Macaca mulatta: one gene and its partners. The protein of the gene in region 3 purifies or fractionates together with the protein of the main gene of each other region. This does not show direct contact. Links are inferred from orthologs where the notes say so. Each region holds a gene or a part of one and is shown on either strand. Other genes may lie near its edges.

Region 1 (3,949 bases), on a different chromosome or scaffold from region 3:
ATATTCTTCTCATTAACTCATTTAACTTCAGAGCAACCTAATGAAGTAGGTTTATAGGTAGGTAGATTTAATGATGAAGAAACTATGTTCAGAGTCCCATAGACAGTAGGTGGCAAAATTACCAGAGCAGTCTGTCTCCAAAGTCTTAACCAATACCACAAGTCCATCTGATGCAAGCCTGACCACAGCAAATCCTTCCCGCCTTTGGCCTTCACTGTGGGGGTGGCCTGCCAATTTGCCCTGCTGGAGGTACCAAGGCCACTTACCAAGACCTTGCCGGCCACCACGGTTGGCAAATAACTCAGGCACACGGCCTAGCTGGCCCTGTTCCCCGCAGCCCAAGGTGTAGAGGTCACCACCAGCTGTCAGCATCACCAAGTGGTCATTTCCTGAGGATGAAAAGGTAAGGGATGCAGGCCACATCTGTAAGGCCCAAGGCTGGGCCAGCCCCAGAACAAGGTCCTCCAAGTCCTGCCCCGAGCAAGTACCCCCAGACCCACCTGAGGCCACCTTTACCACAGGCACGTCCAGCTGCACCTGCACTGGCACCATGCTCTTCTTCATGGGCTCCAACAGCCCAATCACACCGTTATTGTCCTAGAAGGGAGGGACAGGGCACTTATCAGCCAGTCCTGCCTGCGCCATACCAGTGAAATCCAGAAGGGCAGTGGCACCAGATGGGGATGGAGAGGTGGGCAGGAGCCGGGCCACATACTCAAATACTTACGAATGAAATCATTTATGGTCTGCAACTTGCATTAAAATAATCAAGGAGTCAGAGAGTGGATGTAAATAGAGATAAACAAGTCTGGCCATAAGTTGATAATCATTGAAACTGTGTGGCAAGTAAACGGGCGTTCAGTATACTATTCTGGGCCAGGCATGGTAGCTCATGCCAGTCATCCTAGCACTTTGGTAGGCCCAGGCAGGCAGATCGCTTGAGCTCAAGACCAGCTTGGGCAACATGGTGAAACCCCGTCCCCACAAAAAAATACAAAAACTAGCTGGGTGTGGTGGCACAAGCCTATAGTACCAACTACTTGCGAGGCTGAGGTGGAAGAAATCACCTGAGCCCAGGAAGTTGAGGCTGCAGTGAGCTAAGATGATGCCACTGCACTCTGGCCTGGGTGACAGAGCAGGATCTCATCTCTAATTAAAAAAGAAAGGAGGCCAGACGCGGTGGCTCACGCCTGCAATCCCAGCATTCTGGGAGGCCCAGAGGGGCGGATCACCTGAGATCAGGAATTCGCAACCAGCCTGGCCAATATGGTGAAACCCCATCTCTCCTAAAAATACAAAAATTAGCGAGGCATGGTGGCGCGTGCCTGTAATCCCAGCTACTTGGGAGGCTGAGGAAGGAGAATTGCTTGAGCCCAAGAGGCAGAGGTTGCAGTGAGCTGAGATTGTGTCATTGCACTCCAGCCTGGGTGACATTCTCCATAAAAAATTCAAAATAGACGTGATAAGAAAACACCCATCAGGCCGGGTGCGGTGGCCCACGCCTGTAATCCCAGCACTTTGGGATGCTAAGGCGGGTAGATCGCTTGAGGTCAAGAATTCGAGACTAGCCTGGCCAACATGGTGAAACTCCATCTTTACTAAAATACAAAAATTAGCTGGGCGTGATGGTATGCGCCTGTAGTCCCAGCTACTTGGGAGGCTGAAGCAGAAGAATCGCTTGAACCTGGAAGGAGGAGGTTGCAGTGAGATCTCGTCACTGCACTCCAGCCTGGCTGATGGAGCGAGACTCCATCTAAAAAAAAAATAGTAAGAAGAAAACAATTTTAATACAGAATTTGGCCCTGGGCACGGTGGCTCATGCCTGTAATCCCAGCACTTTGGGAGGCAGAGGCGGGTGGATCACCTGAGGTCAGGATTTTGAGACCAGCCTGACCAACAGGAGAAACCGCATCTCTACTGAAAATACAAAATTAGCCAGGCGTGGTGGCGCATGCCAGTAATCCTAGCTACTTGGGAGGCTGAGGCAGGAGAATCACTTAAACCCGGGAGGCAGAGGTTGTGGTAAGCCAAGACTGCACTATTGCACTCCAGCCTGGGCAACAAGAGTGAAATTTCGTCTCTCAAAAGAAAAAAAACAAAAAACCAGAATCTATTTTTTTTTTTTTTTTTTTTTTTTTGAGACGGAGTCTCGCTCTGTCGCCCAGGCTGGAGTGCAGTGGCTGGATCTCAGCTCACTGCAAGCTCCGCCTCCCGGGTTCGGGCCATTCTCCTGTCTCAGCCTCCTGAGTAGCTGGGACTACAGGCGCCCGCCACCTCGCCCGGCTAGTTTTTTGTATTTTTTTAGTAGAGACGGGGTTTCACCGTGTTAGCCAGGATGGTCTCGATCTCCTGACCTAGTGATCCGCCCGTCTCGGCCTCCCAAAGTGCTGGGATTACAGGCTTGAGCCACCGCGCCCGGTCAGAATCTATTTTTTAAACTACACTCCTCTCTACCTTGGAAACTCTGAGATGCAACAATCCCTGCCTGCTTGCCCCATCTAAGCTCTGGGAAATGTGGAAGAAGCAGTGCTGGCGAGGTGAGGTGGAGACGGAAGTCAGGGAGATGGGTGAAGACAGCAGGCCTCCTGGATCAGCCTCAACCCAGGGACATCCTTGACCCACTCGCTTCCCAGGACAGACACTTGATGACATTGGATCCAAGGAAGCAGCTGGTGGTGTGGCCCACATGAAGAAGCTGGAATCCTGGGTCTGGGCCTCAGCTCTATCTGTGGGCTTTCATCTCCCCACTAGTAAGTACCACGGATGCATGGAAGTGGATTATCTTTGGGGCCCCACCAGTTAGTTCTGCCTTTCAGGCCCCATGCAGACTTCCAGACCCAGCCTTACCCGGAAGGAGCCCCAGAGGAAGACACGGCCATCCTCGGTGAGGGCTGCTGTGTGACTGTCTCCTGCTGACACCTGTACCACCTTCTCTTGCAGCTCCACTTTCCCAGGGATCATCTCCGAGCCCTCCACTGATGTGTCCCTTCCCAGGGCACCCTCATCATTGCAGCCGAAGGAATAGACCTGTGCCCAGGATGCCCTCATTAATGCAAAGTCTGGCCTCGCAGTCCATTCTCATGTAGGCCACTCCCCGCTGGACTAGCCAGCTCCATTTCCACAGTGAACATGTGTGGTTCAAAAGCCCTGCCCCAAGCCACCCAATCCCAGGCCTTGTCCAACCCTATGCCAGCCCCCAACACCTACCTGGCCACTTTTGCTTAGACACACGGTGTGCATGCCCCCAGCCTCAGCCTGCACAACATCCTCTGGAATGGATACCAGGGCCGGCTTCTTCCTCTCCATCACATTCTCACCCAGCCCCAGCTGGCCCACATCGCCCTGGCCTAGTGTCAGCACCAAGCCGGGTTCTGTGCTGTGGGACCTGTGTGAGACTGAAGGGTGAAGAAGATAGACCCTGAGTGTAGAGGATGACTACAGCGAGGAGAGGTCGCAGGCTCTGCGATCAGACAAACCTGGGCGGAAGCCCTTGCTCTGCCACAGACCGTTAGTATGAACTTTCTGAGTCTAAGTTTTGTCATCTGTGAAATGGGGACAACAAAATACCTCTCTCACAGGATTTTTGTGGAGATTAAGAACTGAGGACATTATTCACATGAAAGGGGAGAAAGGGAAACAAGGAGACACTGGATACTGTGAAATGAATCTTGGTGGAGAGGGCAAGAGGGGCCGGGTACGGTGGCTCACACCTGTAATCCTAGCACTTTGGGAGGCCAAGGCGGGCGGATCACTTGAGGACAGGAGTTCGAGACCAGCCTGGCCAACAGTAGCCTGTAATCCCAGCTACTCGGGGGGGCTGAGGCAGGAGAATCACTTGAACCTAGGAGGCGGAGGTGGCAGAGCCGAGATCGCGCCATTGCCCTCTCTAGTCTAGGTGACAGAGTGAGACTCGATCTCAAAAAAAAAAAAAAAAAAAGAAAAGAAAGCT
Region 2 (4,575 bases), on a different chromosome or scaffold from region 3:
ACAAGCGTGAGCCACAGTGCCTGACTAGAAGGGTGAACATTAAAGACTGACAACCCCACATGCTGGAAAGCATGTGAAACAAGTGGAACTCTTATACGTGACTGGTGGGAATTGTAAAATGGTACAACCACTTTGGAAAACTGCTTGGCAATTCCTTATAAAGTTAGACATACCCATAGCCAAGGGTGACAGCACCCGCTTATAGTCCCAGCTATTCAAGAGGCCAAGGCTGCAGTGAGTTATGATTGTGCCACTGTATAGCCTGGGGGACAGAGAGACCTTGCTTCTAAAAAAAAAAAAAAAAAAATTAAGTTAAACATACCCAGAACGACCCAGAAATTCCACTCCTGTATTTCCTCAAGGAAAATAAAACATGCCCACAAGGACTTGTTCAAGAATGGTTATAGCAACTTTGCTCATAATAGCCAAAAATTGAAAGCAATACATATCAATCAACTGGCGAATGCATAAAGTATTCAATGGAATGCCTCTCAATAACAAACACTACTAACTTCTGGTTCACGCAGACCCAACAGAGTACCTATCACCTTCATTTTTATAGTGTCAGAAATAAGAGGAGTGGTTGCTGATGCGGTGGGAGATGGACTGGAAAGAAACAGGCCACTCTTCTGAGTGATGGAAATGCTCTACGTCCTGATTGGGTGGTAGTTACACAGCTGTGTACATTTACCAAAACTCATCAAATTGTCCACTGGGGGGAAAAAAACTATTATTTTTTATTTATTTATTTATTTTTTTTGAGACAGAGTCTCACTCTGTCGCCCAGGCTGGAGTGCCATGGTGCGATCTCCGCTCACTGCAAGCTCTGTCTCCCAGGGTCACGCCATTCTCCTGCCTCAGCCTCCCGAGTAGCAGGGACTACAGGCGCCCACCACCACGCTCGGCTAATTTTTTGTATTTTTAGCAGAGACGGGGTTTCACCGTGTTAGCCAGGATGGTCTCGATCTCCTGACCTTGTGATCTGCCAGCCTCGGCCTCTCAAAGTGCTGGGATTGCAGGCGTGAGCCACTGCGCCCGGCAAAAAACTATTATTTTCACTGTACGAAAACTTCACCTCAACAAAAAACAAACTAGAAAAGAAAAAAAGGGGGGGAGGGGCTAGCGACGTTGAAAAGTAACACTAAACGATGTAAGTTTTTAATAATTGGGGTAAGCCTTTTTTAAAAAACGTATAGTAAAGAAAACATTTCAAGAAGGTCTGCTGGGTTCCGTGACTAAACAAAGATATTAAAAAGCCCTGAATCCAGTTTGGGCAACGTAGTGAAGCCCTGTCTCTACAGAATTTTTTTAAAGTTAGCCAGGCGTGGTGGTGCGCGCCTATAGTCCCAGCTACTCGGGAGGCTGAGGTGGGAGGATGGTTTGAACCCAGTAGGTCGAGGCAGCAGTGAGCAGTGAGCAGTGGTCGGTGCCCACTGCACTCCAGCCTGAGCGAGACTGATACCTTGTCTCAAAAAACAAAAACAAAACCAAAAAAAGCCGCAGGAGTTCTGGGGGAGATTTCCCGCAGCCCAGTTTCGCCAGGGGCCCAGCATCACCCCCTGGGCTCCGCCGCCCACTCCTGCCCTTCACCTGAGGTGAGCGCCCTCACCGCTCCACCCCTTCTCATCCCGCGTCGCCGTCCCGCCTATTTTCCCTCTCACACCCATCTTTTGAACCGTCCCTTCACCTTTCAATCAATTCAAATATCGCAAGGAGCAAACCAATCGCAAGCCTAGTTGAGTGGAAGGGGCGGGATCTTCCACGGAAGTGTTGGTTAAAACCCCTCCAATCAGCGGCTCCGTGCGGAAAGTTTGAATTTCGTGGAGGCTCGGGTTGTGAGGGTTCCTGCTTCGGAGTCGGCGGTGGTCGTCCAGAACGAGTGTTTTTTACTTTTTGTTTGGTTGAGGTTTCACGCTAGAAGGTGCCTCAGGTAGGTGGGTGCTGAAGAGCTGGACGGAGAACGCTGGCCCGCTTCCGTTGAAGGTCTAGAAGGGTCTGAGGACCGGGGACTGCGAGCGTCGGAGCCAGTCAGAGGCAGGCTCCTTTAGGAGGGTGTTACCTGCTCTTCCTGAAGCTGATAACGCGAACCTTTAGAAGAGTCCGTATGTTTGTCGTGACCTCTGTAGAAGTCAGTGTTTCACCACCGGGGCGTAATTGGCCTTTGGGGTGAAACTGTTCTTCACTAGCTCCGACATTAAATTTCCGTAGCTCTTCCCAGGTCCCATGGCAACTAAAAACGCCCGGTTGAGAACCTCTAGTCAAGCAAGATTAACGCATTCTAGACTTTCAAGCTGGAGGAAACGCCACTCAGCCAAACAAAATTTAGGTGTGTGTGAAGAGTCAGGGTGCCTGGCTTGGGATCCCGGCTTCACCACCTTTTAGATATGCTGATGTGAGCTGTTAATTGACCTCATCTGTATGAGAGCGATAATAGTAACTATCTTTCAGGGTTATTCTGATAATTATACCTTTAATGTTGTCCTCGCTCGCTCTTTCTCTTGCTGTGGATAGTGCTGGCCTGTATTTAATACATAAGTGTTAATTTTTCTTCAATCTTCAGCGAATTAATGCTGCAGGAGATAAATAGTGGAAAAGAGTTCTTTATGAAAAGCACAGTCCATTGTCACTTTCCTTGGGTCTTAGAGGAGAATGTTATTAGCGTGCAGGTCAGATTCTCATTTTTTATATTTTGTCGATTGCTAAGAATCATGTAACAATTTATTGCATTACTTGTGCCAATTTTCCTATTGTCTGGAGTTTTCTAGTGGATTTAGTTAATTCTTGTTAAAGAGTATACCATAGTGTGCCTATCACAGAGCCTCCCCCCTTACCTTTTTTTTGTTTTTTGTTTTTTAACTGCCAAGACTTCTGAGAATCAGTATCCTTTCTCCAGTTTGGCTTGGTAGTTCTCTATACCAGCTACCCAGGTGACCCCCTCAAACTTTCCAGTTTTCTTTGTTCCCAGTTGGACCCACTGGCATCGTCTTTATTGTCCTCTTTTGTTTTGCTTGAATACATTCTCAAAGATCTTTCCAAGAAAAAGGCATGTGCCAAGTAAACTATATGATTTCGTGCGTGTGTGTGTGTGTGTATGTGTGTATGGCTTTTCTTTCTTAAAATTTATAGAGATGGAGTCGTGTTATGTTGCCCAGGCTGGTCTCAAACTCCTGGGCTCAAGCAATCCTCCTACCTTGGCCTCCCAAAGTGGTAGGATTATAGGCCTAAGCCACCCTGCCAGCCTAAACTGTATGATTTCTTGTATGGATGAAAATAATGGAGCAAACTGATAGGGTTATTGTGAACTATGTATTTGGTCTTGTTCTGTTTTCTGGTAAACTACTACTAAAATCCTTGGAGTCTTCTAAGTGGTATCTTTTTGTATGCTAATGATTGACTGATAGCTGGATGCCTCTCAGTAGCTTCTGGATTGAGGCTGGTCACTAGACAGACCAAGGCAGGATTACAGAGTTGGGATTTTCAGCCCCACCTCACAACCTCTGGGGAGGGGAGAGGAGCTGAAGGTTGACTTGATCACCAGTGGCCAATGATTTAATCACTCATGCTTATGTAATGAAGCTGCCATAGAAACCACAAAAAAAAAAAAAAAAAACACCTGTGTTTGGAGAGCTTCTTAGGTGAACACATGAAGGTTCCTAAACGGTGGTGCTACCTGAGAGAGCATGGAAGCTCCTTGTTCCTTTCCACATACTTTGCCCTGTGCCTCTCTATCCAACTCTATCTGTATCTGGCTGCCTATTGATTATCTCTACATGACTAATAGGTACCTGGTGTGGGGTTTTTGTTTGGTTTTTTTTGCTTTTTTTTTGGCTTTAGAGGAAATGTTAGACTACCTGCATTCGTCGTCATGGGTAAGGAAACCATTCTGTACATGGTCCTTCACTTAACCTATTTTCACCTTTAGTTCACGCTTTTCTTTTTGCAGTGTTCTCTAAGCCCAGAGCCTCTTTTATTCTGGACTATAGCTTCCTGGCTTTCTCTTCATCGGTCAAGCAAGTTCCTATTTAAAACCCCCCAAATAGGTAGCTTCTTATGCTCTGATAATCATCTTCCCACTTTTCAGTGTTACATATTTCTTTCATTGCACATTTTATATTTTTATTTCAGAAGGCCCTGAAGTGGGACAGGAGATGAACTATAATCTTAATTTTTTAAATAATGAAAATTCATGTAAGTTGGGTTTTGTCCTTTTCCTTGACAGGATGTCTTCATCACATTTTGCCAGTCGACACAGGAAGGATTTAAGTACTGAAATGATTAGAACTAAAATTGCTCATAGGAAATCACTGTCTCAGAAAGAAAACAGGCATAAGGAATACGAACGAAATAGACACTTTGGTTTGAAAGATGTAAACATTCCAACCTTGGAAGGTAGAATTCTTGTTGAATTAGATGAGACTTCTCAAGAGCTTATTCCAGAAAAGGCCATCGTTAAGCCAAGTAAGTAAAGGTCTGTTGTAATTTTAAGTACTTTGAAGAGTGAATAATAGTTGGTTTAATGCCTGTGTGAGTAAAAAACCCTGGCCAGAAGAATTTTGAAATATCATTCTATAAATA
Region 3 (3,949 bases):
AGTGGTAGGATTATAGATGTGAGCCACTGGGCCCAGCTTAATTTTGTGTGTGTGTGAAGATAGGGTCTCACTATATTGCTCAGGCTGGCCTCAAACTTGTGGGCCCAGGCAATCCTCCTTGCCAGGACATTAAAGAATTTTTGACTACAGAAAGCATAGTCCTTTTACTGGGGCATAAGTCACTTCAAAGTTAGATTGAACTTAAGTGCACACCACTTAAATTTGTATAACTGCCTTGTCAGTCAATTTAAATGGAGAGCCAGTTTGCAGCTAAGATTGGTAGAGGTGGTTTCTTTTTTTCTTTTTTTTTTTTTTGAGACTCGTTCTGTTGCCCAGGCTGGATTGCAGTGGCACAATCTTGGCTCACCACAGCCTCCACCTCCCAGGTTCAAGCAATTCTTCTGTCTCAGCCTTCTGAGTAGCTGGGATTATAGGCGTTAGCCACTGTGCCCTGCCAAAAGTTTCTATTTTCTTTCCTGGTACTTGCCATCACCTGATTTGGTTCGTAATGCTTTTGGACTAAGGTTGACACATGGTGCCTGGTATGGGATGAAATGAAACATTGAGCAAGTTCTAGGAATTGATTTTCTGATTTTTACATGTCTGCAAAATTGGTTTGGGGAAGCCATATCTGACTTAAGACTCTTTGAAGGGCCATTACAAAGCACTTTAGGAATCTGGAATGCCTCTTCATGTGTGGCCTGTAAGTACATTACTAAGGCCATTTACCTGAGGACCACTCTCCTGAGGACCAGACCTGTTTTTGGCATAAACAGCCTATGTCCAACTGGTCTGTCAACATGTGACCACTCCTCTGAAAGGGCAAAGAAGTTAATTTTGGCTCCTGGAGTGGCTGATTTGGATCTGAAGCCCAGTGCTGCTTTTCCTGACTGTGGCTTGTTTAGCCCTTGATGGGACTGCCTAAGGACCCTGTTTTGCAGCTGGCCTGCAGAAAGGACATGCTGTTATCAGATGAGGGGGCGGACAAGAGTCAGTACTGCTGGTTCAGACCATTTAAAATTAACCCCAACATTCCTTGAGGGCCATACCACTTTGTTGTATTAGCCAGAGTAAAGCCCTATTCTGTGGAGAGTGGGCATTGTCTCTGTGGTGTAAGAATTAGGGCCCTTCCAGCAGTAATAAATTTGGCTTATGCAAGCCTTTAATGTCTTCATGATGGAATCGGTAACTAACATACATTCCACCCAACCTGTTGAGTGGAGTGAGTCCATTTTGGGAGAGGTAGGTTATAGGTTATTTTTACCTGCCTCTGTGTTAACCCGTGGTGCTGTCATTGGCTAATAGTTTATTTCATTACAGTGTTGGGTGGTGAATTCCTCAAGTACATGGAGGCCTTTAAACCATTCCTGGGCATTGGATTAAAAAATTATGCTGAGTACCAGGTAGGATATGCTTTTCAAAATAGTATATTCCCATTTATACCTGATAGTCACTGTAGTGCAGACAAAACCAGGTTCTTATAGCTTAAGTAGTTTTCCTTATACATTTTCCTAAAAGGCAAGCTGCTTTATTCATTGCCTGAATATTTGAACTGGAAGTAGTCCATGAAAAACAGGATATTAGATGCACCAGATAAAGGTGGATAAGATGACTGTTTATTTGCCTAGACAGTACTAATGCGGGAGCAGCTGTAAAGTTGAGCTATCAGCACCCTGGAGAGCAAGGCTTTTTTTTTTGTTTTTTTAAACCTTTATCAGTGATCTCTCTCAGATAGTCTTTGTTCCCTTCCTGCCGTGTTGGTTGCTGAAAAATTAATCTCGGCAGAGGGAAGATGTTTTCTCCTTTGACTCTAGGTTCAAGTGATAAAAGCCTAGCAGCTAGTTAAAAATAATGTCTTGCCCCAGCAGGCAGCCTTTTCTGTTAGAAGATTATTTCCTTGATTCTTGGCAGGTTTGTTTGGCAGCTGTGGGCTTAGTGGGAGACTTATGCCGTGCCCTGCAATCCAACATCATACCTTTCTGTGATGAGGTGATGCAGCTGCTTCTGGAAAATTTGGGGGTGAGTATCTACACACAATCTAATTAACCAGTCTTCTTTGAAGAAATCAATAGTTGGAAAGATAGTTAAATATCGACAGGCCAGGCACAGTGGCCTGTAATCCCAGCACTATGGGAGGCCGAGGTAGGTGGGGTCACCTGAGGTCAGGAGTTCGAGACCAGCCTGGACAACATGGTGAAACCCCGTCTCTATTATAAATACAAAAAAAATTAGCCGGGCGTGGTGGCAGGGGTTTGTAATCCCAGCTTCCCGGGAGGCTGAGGCAGGAGAATCGCTTGTACCTGGGAGGTGGAGGTTGCAGTGAGTCAAGATCGCGCCATTGCACTCCAGCCTGGGCAAGAAGAGCCAAACTCCATCTCAAAAAAAAAAAAAAAAAATCAGTGACAGGGAGCTGTGAGTTTCTAGAACATTGGCTTTGGGCTTATAAACAGGGGAGTTGTTCATTTCACGGATGATTCTAAAGAAAGTGTAAAGTTAATTAAAGGAATGTGTGCTCTATTAGAGGTTTTTAAAACAAAACAGTAAAATGCAAAGGAAAAGTAAATACAGTTGTTCTTTGACTTATGATGGAGTTAGGTCCCAATAAACACATTGTAAAGTAGAAAAACCATCATGAGCAGGGGACCATTTGTATATCATACCTCTCTCCAGAGGTAGCCATTGTTAATTATTATACGTGTCTTTAAGTTCTATATCCAACTTTGCTACTTTGCTTCTGTGTTCTCGGACAAGTCACTTGACTCTTAAGTCAGTTGCCTCATGTGTAAAGTGGGAATGCCAATACCTGGCTAGCTTCTTAGAGTTGATGTGAGGTGCAATTGGGAAAGGTTTTGTAAGCTATAAAGGACCATCCAAACATTTAAAATCAGTAGTTGCTTGTTAGAAATGAAATTTTTGTGGATCTTTGGACCAAACAAGTTTTGACTTAATTGATTTTTCCTTTTGTTCCTTGTCAGAATGAGAACGTCCACAGGTCTGTGAAGCCGCAGATTCTGTCAGTGTTTGGTGATATTGCCCTTGCTATTGGTGGAGAGTTTAAGAAATACTTAGAGGTTGTATTGAATACTCTTCAGCAGGCCTCCCAAGCCCAGGTGGACAAGGTAAGCTTAAAGCTATCTTGGCTGTTCTTTAAGTCTATCTCTAATTGGAGGGACTGTTGACAAACATGCAGCTAAAGGTGTTCAGTATGATGTAGGTTCTGTTCTTTGTGTCTTACAGTCAGACTATGACATGGTGGATTATCTGAATGAGCTAAGGGAAAGCTGCTTGGAAGCCTATACCGGAATCGTCCAGGGATTGAAGGGGGATCAGGAGAACGTACACCGTTGAGTATACAATCCAGTTGCCTTCGTCCACTGGCCAGTGTGCACTTAGCCAAATGGACTATGTCTGTCATTCTGTAGCTTGCTTGTGAATTAGTGCCTGTTGCTTAAAGGCAGGAAGAAGGGAGAGCAGTGCCCTAATGAAGAGAGTGGCTTAGGGAAGACTGTACAGTATTGTTTTTGCTGTGCTTCTGCTTTTTTTTTTCTTTTTTGTTTTGAGATGGAGTCTCATTCTGTTGCCCAGGCTGGAGTACAGTGGTGCAATCTCAGCTCACTGCAGCCTCCACCTCCCAGGTTCAAGCAATTCTCCTGCCTCAACCTCCTGAGTAGCTAGAACTATAGGCATCTGCTACTATGCCCGGCTAATTTTTACATTTTTAGTAGAGGCAGGCTTTCACCTTGTTGGTCAGGCTGGTCTTGAACTCCTGACCTCAAGTGATCTGTCTGCCTCGGTCTCCCAAAGGGCTGGGATTACAGGCCTGAGCCACTGTGCCTAGCCTTTTTAATTTTTTTTATTTATTCTTTTTATTTTTTTGGAGACGGTCTTACTCTATCACCCAAGCTGGAGTGCAGTGGCGTGATCATAGCTCACTGCAATCTTCACCTCC
Region 4 (4,664 bases), on a different chromosome or scaffold from region 3:
GAACAAGCTAATACAGTAAGAGATTAAATGAGCGCATCCTGTGCATTTGGTCTGAGACAGCTGAAGTTCATTTATCCTACCTCCCTCCCTGCAAGAGACAGGTTCTATTATGTCATCCTTGTTTCCCAACCGAAAAGCAGGCTTGGATAAGCAACGTGCTGAAAGCCAAACAGTAAACGGCATGATCTGACCCCACTGGAGCCAACCCATGAGGTCCAAGTTAAGAACCTCTGTCCTAGAGCATTTATAATTCACTACAGAAATTTATTGTACGAAAGACTGTAATATCATCAGTCAGCCTTATATCCAGACAATCTCAGTTCTCATCCTGTCACTACCACTTTCTGACTGAGGGCCACCGGAGAAATTTCTCAACTTCCCCTGTGCTTCCCTTACCTCAACAATTATTATTATGTATGTGGATGTGTATATATACATATATATATCTTTTTTTTTTTTTTTTTCCTGAGACGGTCTCTGTCACCCAGGCTGGAGTGCAGTGGCGCAATCTTAGCTCACTGCAACCTCCACCTCTTGGGTTCATGCCATTCTCCTGCCTCAGCCTCCTGTGTAGCTGGGACCACAGGCGTCCACCACCACGCCCGGCTAATTGTATTTTTAGCAGAGGTGGGGTTTCACCATGTTGGCCAGGCTGGTCTCCAGCTCCTGACAGGTGTTCCACCTACCTCAACCTCCCAAAGTGCTGCGTACAGGCGTGAGCCACCGCGCCCAGCCCATTTTTATTTTTTGAGGCAGGGTGTGGCTCTGTTACCCAGGCTGGAGTGCAGTGGTACAATCACAGCTTACTGCAGCCTCGACCTCCTGGGCTCAAGCAATTCTCCCATCTCAGCCTCCTGAGTGTGCTGAGACTACATGCGCATGCCATCACTGCTGGTTAATTTTTGTGGTTTTGTTTTGTTGTTTTTTGTAGAGACGGGGTCTCGCCATGTTGCCCAGGCTGGTCTCAAACTCCTGGGCTCAAGCAATCCTCCTGTCTCGGCCTCCCAAGTGCTGGGATTATAGGCGTGAGCCACCGGCGCCTGGCCTACCTCATCAATTAAATAATAACCCCTAGGATGACTAGAAGTCTTCAAGATTACATGAGATCCCACATCTGAAGGTTTTTGCAAAGGACGTGGCACAAACTCGTGCAACTAGAGATGCATATGGCTCTTGCTCTGGAAATGATCACCTTGATAGGAGCAAACAAAGCTGGTCTTCCGTGCCCTTTAATCTCCCCTTCCAGCCTTCCACCTTCCACACTGGCGACCCCCCAACCCCGTTTTTCTGAACCTCCCTTCCTCCCCTTGCATAGCCCAAAGCCTCTCTCTAAAGTAGCCCACCGAAAACATCTGTCAAGTTCCTAACTTATCTGAATCGGAAGCTACTAATAGCCAACCTACATCTAAGAGGAACTGTAAGGTGTCAGAGGAACAAGGAGCATAGGTCGCTTAGACGTGGGCCACCCAAGAAGACAGATTGACACTAAGCGAACCCGCGCTGTCTGCGAAGGCGGGAGCGGCACCAGGACGATCCAGGGCGCAGGCGCCGGGGCCCCACGGCCACGCCCCTATTCAGCACGAGTTGGCCAATGGGGAGCGGCGGCCGGGAGAACGCGCGGCTTCTTTAGGTTCCGCTGCCTCCCCGGCCAAGCTTGACGTCACCAACGCGCGCCGGAAATGCGAGATCAACTGCGCGCCGCTGGCGCTGAGGGAAGGAAGTTTGCAGTCCAGCGGCCTAGGTTCTGTGGGCAAGGCCGTGGGAGGCAGCGTTGGCTGCTTCGACACACCGAGGGCGGCGCGATGGGAGACGAGATGGATGCCATGATTCCCGAGCGGGAGATGAAGGTCAGAGACTAACTGGGGCCTCCCTCCCTTCTTTAGTCCTGGCGTTGCCTTGGAGCCCAGCTGAAAGGCGAAGCGCGGTGCCGGCTGTCCCGTCTCCTGCTTGAACAGACTACCGCGTTCACCGCTCTCAGCTGCGCGTCTGCCGCGCCGCTGGCGTGATAGCCCCACCGAATGCAGTTTCCCAGTCCCATCCTGGTCTCGTGCACGTCTCTTGAGTTACCCTAGCTAGTTTCATGTGGCGGTCACAATAGTGGCAATAACTGCTGTGTATGGAGCGTTGACTGTGTGCCAGTCGCTGTGTAGTCATCGCAGCAGCCCTACGAAGTGGTTATTAACGTAGAGGAGTAAGTCGAGGCTCGGAAAGTGATTTCCCTAAAGTCACATTTGACAGCGGGGCTGAAAGCCAGCATCGTTTAAGACCTTCGCTCTGCCAGTATTTCTGTAAGGCGGTACGGGCTTGCCTAACGTAGGGTCAGGGGAGGTCATCCATCCTGCAGAACCTTTAGTTGACTGGACTAGGAAGACTGTTTTGATATCGGTGTATCAGCCTCAAACCAGGAACCTAAAGGGAGGGCTAAGTGTTTCCAGTGATGGCAACGTGGGAGTCCCCCAGGGATAACTTCAGGATGGTGTGTTTAATAGTTCTTATATGTGTTCTGACAGAATGAGGGTGCAGCAAACGGCCTACATCTGTTTTAAATAGTGAAAGGAAGTAAGATGCAGGAAGATTTTAGTCATCTGTGTGAACAGTAAATCACTAACATGCATGTAGGGCATAGTAATACATACCCTGTTTAGAATAGTGATTTTTTTTTTTTTTTTTTTTTTTGAGACAGAGTCTCGCTCTGTCTCCCGGGCTGGAGTGCAGTGGCCGGATCTCAGCTCACTGCAAGCTCCGCCTCCCGGGTTCACGCCATTCTCCTGCCTCAGCCTCCCGAGTAGCTGGGACTACAGGCGCCCACCACCGCGCCCGGCTAATTTTTTGTATTTTTTAGTAGAGACGGGGTTTCACCGTGTTAACCAGGATGGTCTCGATCTCCTGACCTCGTGATCCGCCCGTCTCGGCCTCCCAAAGTGCTGGGATTACAGGCTTGAGCCACCGCGCCCGGCCTTTTTTTTTTTTTTTTTTAAGACATAGTCTCGCTCTGTCACCCAGGCTGGAGTGCAGTGGCATGATCTCGGCTCGCTGCAACCTCCACCTCCCCAGCTCAAGCGATTCGCCTGCCTCAGCCTCCCGAGTAACTGGGATTACAGGCACCTGCCACCATGCCTGACTAATTTTTTATATTCTTTGGTAGAGATGGGGTTTCACCATGTTGGCCAGGCTGGTCACAAACTCCTGACCTCAAGTGATCTGCCCTCCTCTGGCTCCCAAAGTGCTGGGATTACAGGTGTGAGCCACCGTGTCGGCCTAGAATAGTGATTATTTTTTGAGAATCACCACCTGTGGTGAGCCACCTAATGGGATTGTGTCATATTCCTCAGATATACTGGGGTAGAAGAAAAAAAGGGTTTATTAATAGAATCACAGACTTAGAAGATGGTAATCTCAGACTCCCTTTGGCAGCACATATAAAATTGGGATCATGCAGAGAAGACTAGCATGGCCCCTTTACATGGATGACACACAAATTCGTGAAGTGTTCCATGTCAGAAAACACTGAAGGCCGAGCGGAGTGGCTCACGCCTGTGAGCCTGCACTTTGGGAGGCTGAGGCGGATGGATGACTTGAGGTCCGGAGTTCGAGACCAGCCTGGCCAACATAATGAAACCCTGTCTCTACTAAAAATACAAAAATTAGCCGGGCATGGTGGTGGGCGTCTGTAGTCCCAGCTACTTGGGAGGCTGAGGCAGGAGAATTGCTTGAACCTGGAAGGCAGAGGTTACAGTGAAGCAAGATCGCCCACTGCACTCCAGCCTGGGCGACAAAGCGAGACTCCGTCTCAAAAAAGAAAAAAAGACAACTGAGACAGACCGTGTTCTCAGTAATATATATTTTTGTTGTACTGAAATTGGGTCTACTGAATATAACTTGTTTTAATTTCTTTATTTATTGAATTGATCTTGTTTTGATTCTTCACAACAGGATTTTCAGTTTAGGGCGCTAAAGAAGGTGAGAATCTTTGACTCCCCTGAGGAATTGCCCAAGGAACGCTCGAGTCTGCTTGCTGTGTCCAACAAATATGGTCTGGTCTTTGCTGGTGGGGCCAGTGGCTTGCAGATTTTTCCTACTAAAAATCTTCTTATTCAAAATAAACCCGGAGATGATCCCAATAAAATAGGTAAGTTCCGTGGTTTATGTTGCAAAGTAGAGAGAGGAGTGTGGTGGCATGCTCTTGTGTTTCCTTCCCAAGAAGTCATTCTAATACTAAAATGAACACTGCTGTCAGTTTGAAGGTTGACTCCCAAGAAGATTAATGGAAGCCTTTCTAGGTTTTCTCCTTGGTCCTTTGTACTTTTCCTTACATGAGTTGTTCTTCTCAGCTCAAGAGGGAAGAACTTAACCATTATGCCATACTTTTATTCTTGCCCAGTTGAACTTGGGCTCTGGCTCTCTGGGTGAAGGGTTTTATTGGCATGGGTTTTCAGTTGGCACAACAGTACGATCCAAACTATTGGCAATGTGTACTATTTAGAGCATTGTTGCAAAAATATTTTCAACAAGGGCAACAGCCACAGTTAGTTTCCCCAGATAGTATGAGGAAGAATTCCTGGGATACTTAATGCATGATTATATCTCTTAAGAAAGTAAAGATTTATCTGTATAACTAGGTATTGGGGTGTATGTGTGTTTATGTAGATGCAAAAATTTTTTCA
Region 5 (3,949 bases), on a different chromosome or scaffold from region 3:
CCAGAATAATAATTCATGCTTATTGATAAAGACATAGACAAACCAGGGTGATAAGTTTGAACCCAGAGGAAGCCTAGGGGTGGCAGGATTCAGGGTATCACATCTGTATCTGAGAATGAGGAGGCTGTAGGAGAAGGCCTTTTGGATAGCACCCCCTAGTTCTGCCCCTCATATCTGCTTCCTTGGTCTGTCCTGATTACTTGCTGTTTCTCCTCTTTTTTTGGAGCATCTCACAGACACATTTATTCATACCACAAAGTGAACACTATACAAGTATGTAGTGATGTTCCACGTTCCCGTCTAATATAGCTGGCTTCAATTGTCAGGCAGTACACGAGAGACGTTTAATCTCACATGTACTCCAAGTAAAGCTGGAGTACCATGAGTAGGCGCAGGAGTTCTTAAAGGTTTACTTGTTGTTTTAAAAATTCTCATTTATTGGCCGGGCAAGGTGGCTCACGCCTGTAATCCTAGCACTTTGGGAGGCCGAGGTGGGCAGATCACGAGGTCAGGAGATCGAGACCATCCTGGCTAACATGGTGAAACCTCCTCGTCTCTACTAAAAATACAAAAAAATTAGCTGGACATTGTAGCGGGTGCCTGTAATCCCAGCTACTCAGGAGGCTGATTCAGGAGAATGGCATGAACCCGGGAGATGGAGCTTGCAGTGAGCCGAGATTGCGCCACTGTGCTCCAGCCTGGGTGGCTGAGCGAGACTCCATCTCAAAAAAAAAAAAAAAATTCTTTAATTTATTTAGTTACTTTTAGAGATAGAGTCTCCCGATGTTGCCCAGGCTGGAGTGCAGTGGCACAGTCATAGCTTACTGTAGCTTTGAACTTCTGGGCTCAAGTGATCCTCCTGCCTCAGGCTCTCCAGTAGATGGGACTGACTACAGGCATGTGCCACCACATCCAGCTAATTTTTATTTTTATTTTATTTTTTTGAGACAGGGTTTTACTCTGTCACCCAGGCTAGAGTGCAGTGGTGAGATCATGGCTCACTGTAGCCTCTGTCTCCTGGGCTCAAGCATCCTCCCACCTCAGCCTCCCCAGTAGCTGGGATTACAGGTGCACACCACCATCCCCCGCTAATTTTATTTATTTATTTATTTTAATAGAGATGGAATTTTGCCATGTTACCCAGCTTGAGCTGCTGGGCTCAAGCAATCTTCCCGCCACAGCTTCCCAATGTGCTGGGATTACAGGTGTGAGCCACTGCACCTGGCCAGCTTTACTTCTTTTACCAGCACTCCTGACTTTATAAACAGTGAGGCTCATCAACCCCATTTCCAACCAGATCCCCTGGTAAACTTGGGTATAGTAGGGCTTCATGGGTGGCAGCCCTGTCCCTGTCCTATTATGATGGTAGCTGTTGTGATGTGGCAATCTCTGATCTAGAAAACCCTGAGAGGCCACTGTGGCCTGCCTAGTCTCCCGGCCAGGGTTGAAACCAGACGTGCAGTGGGGCTGACCCCTGTGCCCCACCCCAGAGTCATGCCAGTGTGGGTGTGGGGCATTCTCTGGGATGAATGATCTGGATCCCATAGCCATCTGTGTCCTGTTTGAGGAATGTGACCCTCAAGCAGAGAGCAGCCAAGATGCTCAAGCAGGTGTGTGCTCGGGCCAGACTCTGCAGCCTTTGGTTTGGGACTTGACTGCCATTCACTGACAGGGTCCAGGAAATGGGCAGCTCACATGGCATTGCTGGGCATCCCAGCTGCAGCGGTTTGGCAGAGGAGGACTTGTAATGAGATGGTAGCTCCTTATAGGCTAAAACATGATTTTTCTGTTCTCTTACTACCTCCTGCACCTTCTGGAACTGTTCATTCTCTGATGCTGTTTTCCTTTCTTCCAGTGGTTTAGCTGTAGGGTCTCCATAGCAGGGGAGGTACGGTCAGACTCCTGAGATGACTATGTCCTACCCTGCCCCCCAACCAGGGGCCCCAGGAGACTCCTTTTTCTTATTGCAACTTCGGCCTCTTCAGTCTGCAGATCTCCAGGGGAGCCCACCAGCCTAGTCAGCATGGCCTCGGAAGACATTGCCAAGCTGGCAGAGACACTGGCCAAGACTCAGGTGGCCGGGGGACAGCTGAGTTTCAAGGGCAAGAGCCTTAAACTCAACACTGCAGAAGATGGTGAGTTTCTGGAAGTTGCGCACTGGTGTGTCCAGGGGAGGAAAGGGAGTGTACTGAACTCTTACTGGTTATCAGGCTCTTTCTGCTACATTGTCTCCATTATTTGTCCCAGAAGCTCTGTTAGGTATCATTGACCCCCTTCTAACAATGAGGCTCAGAGATCATTTGCCCATGTGCAAGCTCCCCTGAGCTTTGCATGTTTGCAGTGGGCATCCCTTTGTGCCCTGTCCTTTCTTTCTCAGGAGGGGATGGTAGGTAATGAGGGGCCACAGTTAGTGCCAGTCCCAAGATACAGCCTCTGACTCTGACTTCACATCTGGTGTTCTCCCACCCCTGCCCTTTACTCTCATGATCTCAGGCAGGCCTGGCAATAGGTGCAGCTTTCCCCAGAGCTGAGGCTGTGTTGGAGCTGCATTAAAACAACCTGGGCCCTCTTGGGAGATGCTGGTTCATGCAGCCAGATGTACCTGGGAGAGGGATGGCTGTCTGTGTGTATACAGGTACTGTAACCACAGAAAACGAGGAACCAGAGCGCAGACCCTATCTTTTCATCCCTTGTCAAGGCTTCGCTGCCACTGACCAACCCTGAATCCCCTGGCACCAGCAAATGAAGGCGCCTGTGTCAAGTGAGGCCTCCTGGGATTCTGGCCCAACCAGGGGAACTGGTTTGGACATGCCTGGTTGTCATGTTGTGTAGGCAGCCTTGTTCCCCCCAGGTCAGAGGCTGCTTGAGTCCTTGGGTAGCTGGGAGCGTGGTGACACATGTTCCTAACATCTTCATAAGGCCTTAACATTTATAGACTTCCTCCCTGTGCGTTTATCACTTTTATTTTTTTTTTTTGAGACGGAGTCTGGCTGTGTCACCCAGTTAGAGTGCAGTGGCACGATCTCGGCTTACTGCAAACCTCTGCCCTCCTGGTTTCAAGCGATTCTCCTGCCTCAGTCTCCTGAGTAGCTGGGATTACAGGCATGTGCCACCATACCCGGTTAATTTTTGTATTTTTAGTAGAGACAGATTTTTGCCATATTGGTCAGGATGCTCTTGAACTCCTGACCTCAGGTGATCTGCCTGCCTTGGCCTCCCAAAGTGTTAGGATTACAGGCGTGAGCCACTGTGCCCGGCCTTTTTTTTTTTTTTTTTTTTGTAGATGAGTCTCGCTGTGTCACCCAGGCTGGAGTGTAGTGGTACGATCTTGGCTCATTGCAACCTCTGTCTCCCAGGTTCAAGTGATTCTCCTGCCTCAGCCTCCCAAGTCGCTGGGACTACAGGCTCACACCATCATGCCTGGCTAATTTTTTTTTTTTTTTTTGAGACATAGTCTTGCTCTGTTGCCCAGGCTGGAGTGCAGTGGTGCGATCTCAGCTCACTTTAACCTCTGCTTCTTGGGTTCAAGCAATTCTCATGCCTCAGCCTGCTGGGCGGGTAGCTGGGACTACAGGTATGTACCACCATGTCCAGCTAATTTTCTTTTTTTGTGTTTTAGTAGAGATGGGGTTTTACCATGTTGGACAGGCTGGTCTTGAACTCCTGACCTCAGGTGATTCACTCACCTCAGCCCCCAAAGTGCTGGGATTACAGGCGTGAGCCACTGTGCCTGACCTTCAGCCTAGTTTTGTATTTTTTTTATTTCTTTTTTTTTTTTTTTGAGACAGTCTTGCTTTGTTACCCAGGCTAGAGTGCAGTGGCGCGATCTCAGCTCACTACAAGCTCTGCCTCCCGGATTCATGCCATTCTCCTGCCTCAGCCTCCCGAGTAGCTGGGACTACAGGCGCCTACCACCACGCCCGGCTAATTTTTTTGTATTTTTAGTAGA
Region 6 (3,949 bases), on a different chromosome or scaffold from region 3:
CATTTTTATAAGGTTTTTAGAAAAGGATTTTATTCTCGTTTATTTAAGCTTTATTTTGTATTTTTAAGTCTGTTAAGGTGCCCCCTCTACTTTAACATGGAGGCACTTGCTGTGGTAAGACAAAAATAAGTGCTTCCATGTTTGAGTGTGGTGGTTCCTACTTAATCATCGATTGCGTTAACGCCCACATTGTGTGCAGTTCTTTGCTACAGGCCACTACTGTTGCTAATATGCAACTCTGTTGAACACAAATTGGAATTGCACTTTAGCAATGGTGATGGATTGTTAAGCTAATGACAGGATTTAAACCACAGACTTACTTTGATAGTACTCTTAATGGTATAACTTCTTCTCCCATTTTATGTCTCTCTTTATGTTTTTTCTTGTGTTTCCTTTTTGTTTTTAAGAGAGAGCTGTCTTTTAGATCTCCAGTATCCTTCTCCTCTTCAGTAGAGATTTCTATATCTTGAAATAAATAAAAAAGCCAGTTAAGACTTGCGGCTGTGAAATGGGTGAAACAGAAGCTTAATTTATATAAATAAAACCTTGCAGTTTACCTCTATTTTCCTTGGAAGCTTCTGAAGGTTCCTTAATGATGTCTTTCTGAATAATTTTCTTTACTTTTGATCGCGGACCCAGGGACTCTGCATCTTCAGAGCTGCTTCTCTTCCTCTTGCCTGTTCTGACTTCAGGTAAGCTCGATGCTTCAACTCTGTCCCGCTTTTTCTTTTTCTTTGAGGATTGCTTTTGGGGTTCAGTAGACTCAATGTCAGAGCCCTCAGATGTGGGCCTGGATCTTTTCATTTTACTGATGCTGGTGTTGGTTGTGTCCATATTTTCCTCTTTGGCTTGGACATTGTCTTCCTTTTTCATTCGGCCCTTCTTCTTCTTTTTCTTTTTCTTCTCTTCTGTAAAAGTGCCATCATTAGTTCATCTTACTTCAATTACATCTACTTAAATATTGAAAAATACTCACCCACAACTCTTAAGGCTGGAATGGGCTTATTTTTCACTGTTTTAGGAAATATGCCAGGTTTTCTTGGTGCTTCTTCTGGTGGGTTGTTAAGAAACTGAAATGATTGAAAAAAAGTTTTACTATTTTAATACTTGTTATATCTATACATTTTTTTTTTCTAGGATCTGGACCTACCTCAATTGCCTTTGCTGCTTGTTCTTTTGTTTCAAATTCCACAAACGCAAATCCCTTTGGATCTCCAGTAGACTTATAATGTGGTATACTGATATAAACAACATTGCCACATTTCCCAAAGACTCTTTCAATCCAGCTGTGATTAACATTTTTGGGAAGTAACTCCTGTGATAAATTAAAAGCAATATTAAATAGTTTTTTGCAATGCTTATATTTTCAGAATGTCAATAAGTTTTTAACTTAATTACATTGTTTCTGTGCCAGTTTCTGACTGGGGACCCGGGCTCTTAAGCTTACCACATACACAGTGCGCTCATCCTCATCTTTTGGTCTTTCCCCCAGAGGTTTTTTCCTCCTGATTCTGGTGCCTTCCAAATCAAGCTTTAAAAGAGTATTATTACATTAATAAAACTATAATAAACTATAATAATGATCATTACGTTAATATTATTTATAAACTATAATTATATAGTAATGGCAGTCATTCTTAATTCTTACCTCTACGACAGCTGAACTTCTTAATGCTCTGGCAATTAACTTCCCATCAGTAGTCAATTTTTTCATTTTGTTAAAAGACACAAGTAGTGATATATCAACATCTAATGAAAATGAAAAAGTTAATAATTGTGTTAGTGTACACTATCAGCAGGATTAATTCAATCTGGTACAATTTAACCTGCCCCTCAGGCCGGGCTTGGTGGCTCATGCCTGTAATCCTAGTACTTTGGGAGGCCAAGGCGGGTGGATGGGGGAGTTAAAGATCAGCCTGGCAAAAAATTAGGCTGGGTGTAGTGGCACATGCCTGTAATGCCAGCTACTCTGGAGGCTGAGGCAGGAGAATCGTTTGAACCCAGGAGGCAGAGGTTGCAGTGAGCTGAGATCACACTGCACTCCAGCCTGGGAGACAGACTTTGTCCATTAACAGTATTGTTGTGTGAGGGTCTAAATGGTATTGCATATTTGGCATACCTAAAATGACACATCTTAGTGTATGTAATTGCAGATTGAGGTTTTATTGCTTAGCAACATCCAGACATTCAAAGAGGATGTCTGGATCCCATCCTATTAGAAACAAGCACATGGCTGGTCATTTGAAATTTATCAACTGGGGACAGTGGCTCAATGCCTCTTATCTCAGCAATTTAGAGGCGAAGGTAGATCTCTTGAGCTCAGGAGTTCGAGATCAGCAACATGGTGGGACCCCATATCTACTAAAAATGCCAGAAAAAGAAAAAGCAGGCCTGATGATGCTTGCCTGTGTTTTCAGCTACTGGGGAGGCTGATGTTGGAGGACAGCTTGGGTAGGGCTAGGGGGTGGAGGTGGGGGCAGAAGTTGGAGTGAGCAGACATGGAGCCAGTGCATTTCCTGCCTAGGGAAAAAAGATAGACCCTGCCTCAAAAAATGTGAAACAAAAAATAACATTGAGCTAGGTGAAATGCCTTCTTGTATGAACTAAAGCATAGCACTCTCATCTCAAGTTACACATGATAAATGGTTATTGAAGCAATTAAATCCCAAAATACTTACAAGCTTTGATATGAAACTGCTTATTTATTTATTTTTTTTATTTTTATTTATTTATTTTTTTTGAGACGGAGTCTCGCTCTGTCGCCCAGCCCAGGCTGGAGTGCAGTGGCGCGATCTCAGCTCACTGCAAGCTCCGCCTCCCGGGTTCACGCCATTCTCCTGCCTCAGCCTCCCGAGTAGCTGGGATTACAGGCGCCCACAACCGCGCCCGGCTAATTTTTTGTATTTTTAGTAGAGACGGGGTTTCGATCTCCTGACCTTGTGATCCGCCCGCCTCGGCCTCCCAAAGTGCTGGGATTACAGGCGTGAGCCACCGTGCCCGGCCGAAACTGCTTATTTAATATAGCCTAAACTCTTACCAACAGTCTAAATATTTAGAAGACTGTCATTCACTAAATAAAAATTAAAACAGATGACAAGGAACATACTTGCAGAAACGAATACATACATTATAGAATATACTATTTTAGGCTGGGTGCAGTGGCTCACACCTGTAATCCCAGCATTTTGGGAGGCCGAGGTGGGCAGACCACGAGGTCAGGAGTTTGAGACCAGCCTGGCCAACATAGTAAAATCCCATTTCTACTAAAAATACAAAAATCAGACAGGCATGGTGGTGCGTGCCTGTAGCCCCACCTACTCAGGAGGCTGAGGCAGGAGAATCACTTGAACCCAGGAGGCAGAGGTTGCAGTGAGCTGAGATAATGCCACTGCACTTCAGCCTGGGCAACACAGCAAGACTCCATCTCAAAAAAATATATAGATATACTATTTTATAAATAAATTGAAAGGCAACCACATCTAAAAGTTGGTTCCTTTACTGAAGCAAACTTACATCCATCTCTAGATTTTTCTATCTGTTCTCGAAGAAATCTATCCTTGTGAAGATTTGCATCCCCAAACCAGAAGTCCACTTGCTTAGCAATATCTGCAAGCACCTGTTTAACTCGTGACCGTTTCTTTTTTTCAACTTCTTTTTTCTTTTCAGTGCTTTCTTCTTCCATTACGTTTTTTTGATTTCCACTTTCAGTTTCCATTCCTGTGAAATATAAGAAAAAGAGGTAAATATTTAAATAACCACAATAGCTAATATAGTTAAATATTTAGATTAGCCTTTATTTAATTGTCTGAGAGAATAATGGACTCACATTTGGCTGTGAGAAGACAAACAGAAAATTTATTTTTATATTTAATAAAGTAAATTAAAAAAATAATTTACCTCCGATGTTAGGGATCATGCTTTAGTTTTTTTGTACCTTTCATTTATTTTA
Region 7 (3,791 bases), on a different chromosome or scaffold from region 3:
TGAAAGAAAAGCATAATGGCTAACTCAGTAGACCCTGATTCTAGTTCTATTCCTTTCACTAAACTATGTGATTCTGAGCTTGACCTTTGACTTCTTTTTTTTTGAGACGGAGTTTTGCTCTTGTTGCTTGGGCTGTAGTGCAATGGCGCAATCTCGGCTCACCACAACCTCCGCCTCCCGGGTTCAAGCGATTCTCCTGCCTCAGCCTCCAGAGTAGCTGGGATTACAGGCATGCGCCACCACGCCTGGCTAAGTTTGTATTTTTAGTAGAGATGGGGTTTCTCCATGTCTGGAACTCCTGACATCGTAATCCACCTGCCTTGGCCTCCCAAAGTACTGGGATTACAGGCGTGAGCCACCTCACTCAGCCAACTTAATAACAGCGAGCAAAGGCCTTGGCGCAGTCATGTATAGCCATGAGTCAAATGATAGGTAACCCTGTGTCATGAGGGTCCAAGCAGGGAATCTGGGCCCAACCATGATTTGCTACAACCTAGGATGAGCTCTGGCTTTAACTTGGTTTTCATGCTGAAGGAAGCCTCTAAGGACCGTCCTGGGTGCTCCTCTTTATAGGGCCTTGATGCCTTGTAAGCCTGGCTTCCTTAGGAGTGAGGAATTGATGTCTATCTGGATACGTAGGTGCCCTGGACTGCTGGGCATTGGTATCAGGAGAGATACCCACATGCCCTGTGTTGAGGCAGATGAGTCATGCAAGAGCAGTGCTCTGAATCTGGGTCTTCTTCTGAATCACCTGCAGAGCTTTGGAAACAATGCAGGTGCTTGGGCCTCACCCCAAACCTGCTGATTTGGAGTCCATTACACTGGAACATGTACTCAGAAAGTTCTATATATGATGCTACTTCTTTTCTTTTCTTTTTTTTTTTGAGATGGAGTCTCACTCTGTTGCCCAGGCTGGAGTGCAGTGGCACGATCTCGGCTCACTGCAAGCTCTGCCTCCCGGGTTCCTGCCTCAGCCTCCCGAATAGCTGGGACCACAGGTGCCCGCCACCACGCCTGGCTAATTTTTTTTTTCATTTTTGTATTTTTAGTAGAGACAGGGTTTCACCATGTTAGCCAGGATGGTCTCGATCTCCTGATCTCATGATCCGCCTGCCTCAGCCTCCCAAAGTGCTGGGATTACAGGTGTGAGCCACCACGCCTGGCCCATGATACCACTTCTAACCTCCCCTTAAAACACCACTATTACTGAGTCTCTATCCCTCAGAGGTGCTGCTTTTGTTTTGTGTTTTTTTTTGAGGCGGAGTCTCATTCTGTCCCCTAGGCTGGAGTGCAATGGCCGGATCTCGGCTCACTGCAAGCTCCGCCTCCCGGGTTCACGCCATTCTCCTGCCTCAGCCTCCCTAGTAGCTGGGACTACAGGCGCCCGCCACCACGCCCAGCTAATTTTTTGTATTTTTTTTAGTAGAGATGGGGTTTCACCATGTTAGCCAGGACGGTCTCGATCTCCTGACCTTGTGATCCGCCCGTCTTGGCCTCCCAAAGTGCTGGGATTACAGGCTTGAGCCACCGCGCCCGGCCAAGGTGCTGCTTTTGAAATTAAAATAATTATAAAGCTGGATAATTATGTACTTACTTTGTCTGGAGATGGGGTTGTTTGTAAGTTTTCTTGTAGAAGTTAATTCTGTTGACATGTTGATTTAGATAATTATTTTCTTTAGATTGCCCCCATGGTTTTAGCTTTCCTAGTTTAGGACAGAGACAAAGAGTTTTAAGAAGATTGTTTGATTTATATTCCCAACTTCATTCCCTTCATCTGTGGTTACCTGCTATTGACAATTATACTTTTTTCTTTGAGACAGAATCTCACTCTGTTGCTCAGGTTGGAGTGCAGTGGTGTGATCTGATCTTAGCTCACAGCAACCTCCGCCTCCTGGGCTCAAGTGATCCTCCCAACTCAGACTCATGAGTAGCTGGGACTACAGGCACACACCACCATGCCCAGGTAATTTTTGTATTTTTTAGTAGAGACGAGGTTTTGTCATGTTGCCCATGCTGGTCTCGAGCTCCTGTTCTCAAGCAATCTGCCTGCCTTGGCCTCCTAAAGTGCTGGGATTACAGGCGTGAGCCACTGTGTCCAACCAATTTGCAATTTTACAAAAAAGAACTGGGACCCAATTTCTGGAAGTTTACGTGTTGCTTTTTTTTGGTTTTGTTTTGTGTTTTTTTTTTTTTTTTGAGATGGAGTCTTGCTCTGTCGCCCGGGGTGGGGTGCAGTGGCCGGATCTCAGCTCACTGCAAGCTCCGCCTCCCGGGTTTACGCCATTCTCCTGCCTCAGCCTCCCGCGTAGCTGGGACTACAGGCGCCCGCCACCTTACCCGGCTAGTTTTTTGTCTTTTTAGTAGAGACGGGGTTTCACCGTGTTGGCCAGGATGGTCTCGATCTCCTGACCTCGTGATCTGCCCGTCTCGGCCTCCCAAAGTGCTGGGATTACAGGCTTGAGCTACCGCGCCCGGCCTGTTTTGTTTTTTAAATTTTTTTTTTTTTGAGACGGAGTCTGGCTCTGTTGCCCAGGCTGGAGTGCAGTAGCGCGATCCGGGCTCACTGCAAGCTCCACCTCCTGGGTTCACGCCATTCTCCTGCCTCAGCCTCCCGAGTAGCTGGGACTACAGGCGCCCGCCACCTCGCCCGGCTAGTTTATTGTATTCTTTTTAGTAGAGGCGGGGTTTCACCGTGTTAGCCAGGATGGTCTCGATCTCCTGACCTCGTGATCCTCCAGTCTCGGCCTCCCAAAGTGCTGGGATTACAGGCTTGAGCCACCGCGCCCGGCCTGTTTTTTAAATTTAAATATAGTTTTTGTTTTTTTTTAATTTTTTTTTTTTTTTTGAGATGGAGTCTTGCTCATCGCCCAGGCTAAGGTGCAGTGGCGCCATCTCGGCTCACTGCAAGCTCCGCCTCCTGGGTTCATGCCATTCTCCTGTCTCAGTCACCCAAGTAGCTGGGACTACAGGCGCCCGCCACCGCGCCCGGCTAATTTTTTGTATTTTTTTTTTAGCAGAGACGGGGTTTCACCGTGTTAGCCAAGATGGTCTCGATCTCCTGACCTTGTGATCCGCCCGCCTTGGCCTCTCAAAGTGCTGGGATTACAGGCGTGAGCCACCGCGCCCAGCCTTTTTTTTTTTTTTAATTTTTTAGACGGAGCTCTGTTGTCCAGGCTGGAGTGTACTGGCACGATCTCGGCTCACTGCAACCTCTGCCTCTGGGGTTCGTGCAATTCTCCTGCCTCAGCCTCCCGAGTAGCTGGGACTACAGGCACACGCCACCGTGCCCAGCTAATTATTGTATTTTTAGTAGTCGAGACGGGCTTCAGTGGCTCTCTATAGGCACAGTCATAGCATACACTGCAGCCTTGAACTCCTGGCTGCAAGTGATCTTCCCAGTTCAGCCTTCCATATAGCTGGGAGTACAGGCATACATACTACTACACCTGGCTCTATGTCCTGCTTTTCTTTTTTATTGAGATAGGGTTTCACTCTGTTGCCCCGGCTGGAATGCAGTGGTACAGTCATGGCTTACTGCAGCCCAAACCTCCCTGGCTCATGCAATCCTCACATCCCAGCTTCCTGAATAGCTAGGATCACAGGCACGTGTCACCATGTCCAGCTAATTTTTAAATTTTTTGGTAGAGATAGGGTCTTGCTAAGTTGTCCAGGCTGCTCTTGAACTCCCAGGCTCAAGTCATCCTCTTGCCTGTGCCTCCCAAAGTACTGGGATTACAGCCATCAGCCACTGCACCCTGCTGAATCAAGTAATTATTAATTGTTTAATGAAA

The links.
Region 1: the proteins of KPNB1 (region 3) and RCC1 purify together in Homo sapiens (affinity purification with mass spectrometry; 3 studies listed by BioGRID and IntAct, counting the BioPlex papers as one, with this or other methods). This does not show direct contact. The link is inferred for Macaca mulatta from reciprocal best matches to the Homo sapiens genes KPNB1 and RCC1.
Region 2: the proteins of KPNB1 (region 3) and DLGAP5 purify together in Homo sapiens (affinity purification with mass spectrometry; 4 studies listed by BioGRID and IntAct, with this or other methods). This does not show direct contact. The link is inferred for Macaca mulatta from reciprocal best matches to the Homo sapiens genes KPNB1 and DLGAP5.
Region 4: the proteins of KPNB1 (region 3) and NUP214 purify together in Homo sapiens (affinity purification with mass spectrometry; 3 studies listed by BioGRID and IntAct, with this or other methods). This does not show direct contact. The link is inferred for Macaca mulatta from reciprocal best matches to the Homo sapiens genes KPNB1 and NUP214.
Region 5: the proteins of KPNB1 (region 3) and RANGAP1 purify together in Homo sapiens (affinity purification with mass spectrometry; 3 studies listed by BioGRID and IntAct, with this or other methods). This does not show direct contact. The link is inferred for Macaca mulatta from reciprocal best matches to the Homo sapiens genes KPNB1 and RANGAP1.
Region 6: the proteins of KPNB1 (region 3) and LARP7 purify together in Homo sapiens (affinity purification with mass spectrometry; 3 studies listed by BioGRID and IntAct, with this or other methods). This does not show direct contact. The link is inferred for Macaca mulatta from reciprocal best matches to the Homo sapiens genes KPNB1 and LARP7.
Region 7: the proteins of KPNB1 (region 3) and NUSAP1 purify together in Homo sapiens (affinity purification with mass spectrometry; 3 studies listed by BioGRID and IntAct, counting the BioPlex papers as one, with this or other methods). This does not show direct contact. The link is inferred for Macaca mulatta from reciprocal best matches to the Homo sapiens genes KPNB1 and NUSAP1.

The regions. Positions count from the first base shown.
Region 1 is NC_133406.1:212,365,847-212,369,795, forward strand, and holds part of RCC1 (regulator of chromosome condensation), read right to left. Parts: intron 3,916-3,949; exon of another isoform or gene 3,711-3,915; intron 3,419-3,710; coding exon of another isoform or gene 3,396-3,418; coding exon 3,208-3,395; intron 3,028-3,207; coding exon 2,848-3,027; intron 598-2,847; coding exon 501-597; intron 390-500; coding exon 267-389; intron 1-266. UniProt on the Homo sapiens protein: Guanine-nucleotide releasing factor that promotes the exchange of Ran-bound GDP by GTP, and thereby plays an important role in RAN-mediated functions in nuclear import and mitosis.
Region 2 is NC_133412.1:128,323,966-128,328,540, reverse strand, and holds the start of DLGAP5 (disks large-associated protein 5), read left to right. Parts: upstream 1-1,734; 5' UTR 1,735-1,930; intron 1,931-4,219; 5' UTR 4,220-4,220; coding exon 4,221-4,458; intron 4,459-4,575. UniProt on the Homo sapiens protein: Potential cell cycle regulator that may play a role in carcinogenesis of cancer cells. Mitotic phosphoprotein regulated by the ubiquitin-proteasome pathway.
Region 3 is NC_133421.1:62,353,723-62,357,671, reverse strand, and holds part of KPNB1 (importin subunit beta-1), read left to right. Parts: intron 1-1,320; coding exon 1,321-1,403; intron 1,404-1,911; coding exon 1,912-2,019; intron 2,020-2,975; coding exon 2,976-3,119; intron 3,120-3,237; coding exon 3,238-3,343; intron 3,344-3,949.
Region 4 is NC_133420.1:16,423,179-16,427,842, reverse strand, and holds the start of NUP214 (nuclear pore complex protein Nup214), read left to right. Parts: upstream 1-1,683; 5' UTR 1,684-1,802; coding exon 1,803-1,847; intron 1,848-3,400; exon of another isoform or gene 3,401-3,502; intron 3,503-3,933; coding exon 3,934-4,129; intron 4,130-4,664. UniProt on the Homo sapiens protein: Part of the nuclear pore complex. Has a critical role in nucleocytoplasmic transport.
Region 5 is NC_133415.1:10,225,137-10,229,085, forward strand, and holds part of RANGAP1 (ran GTPase-activating protein 1), read left to right. Parts: intron 1-460; exon of another isoform or gene 461-741; intron 742-1,855; exon of another isoform or gene 1,856-1,985; coding exon 1,986-2,135; intron 2,136-3,949. UniProt on the Homo sapiens protein: GTPase activator for RAN. Converts cytoplasmic GTP-bound RAN to GDP-bound RAN, which is essential for RAN-mediated nuclear import and export. Mediates dissociation of cargo from nuclear export complexes containing XPO1, RAN and RANBP2 after nuclear export.
Region 6 is NC_133410.1:121,873,011-121,876,959, reverse strand, and holds part of LARP7 (la-related protein 7), read right to left. Parts: intron 3,718-3,949; 5' UTR 3,716-3,717; coding exon 3,514-3,715; intron 1,750-3,513; coding exon 1,649-1,749; intron 1,532-1,648; coding exon 1,448-1,531; intron 1,316-1,447; coding exon 1,151-1,315; intron 1,071-1,150; coding exon 977-1,070; intron 909-976; coding exon 558-908; intron 466-557; coding exon 321-465; intron 282-320; exon of another isoform or gene 214-281; intron 152-213; exon of another isoform or gene 84-151; intron 1-83. UniProt on the Homo sapiens protein: RNA-binding protein that specifically binds distinct small nuclear RNA (snRNAs) and regulates their processing and function.
Region 7 is NC_133412.1:18,723,323-18,727,113, reverse strand, and holds part of NUSAP1 (nucleolar and spindle-associated protein 1), read right to left. Parts: intron 1,704-3,791; coding exon 1,595-1,703; intron 1-1,594. UniProt on the Homo sapiens protein: Microtubule-associated protein with the capacity to bundle and stabilize microtubules. May associate with chromosomes and promote the organization of mitotic spindle microtubules around them.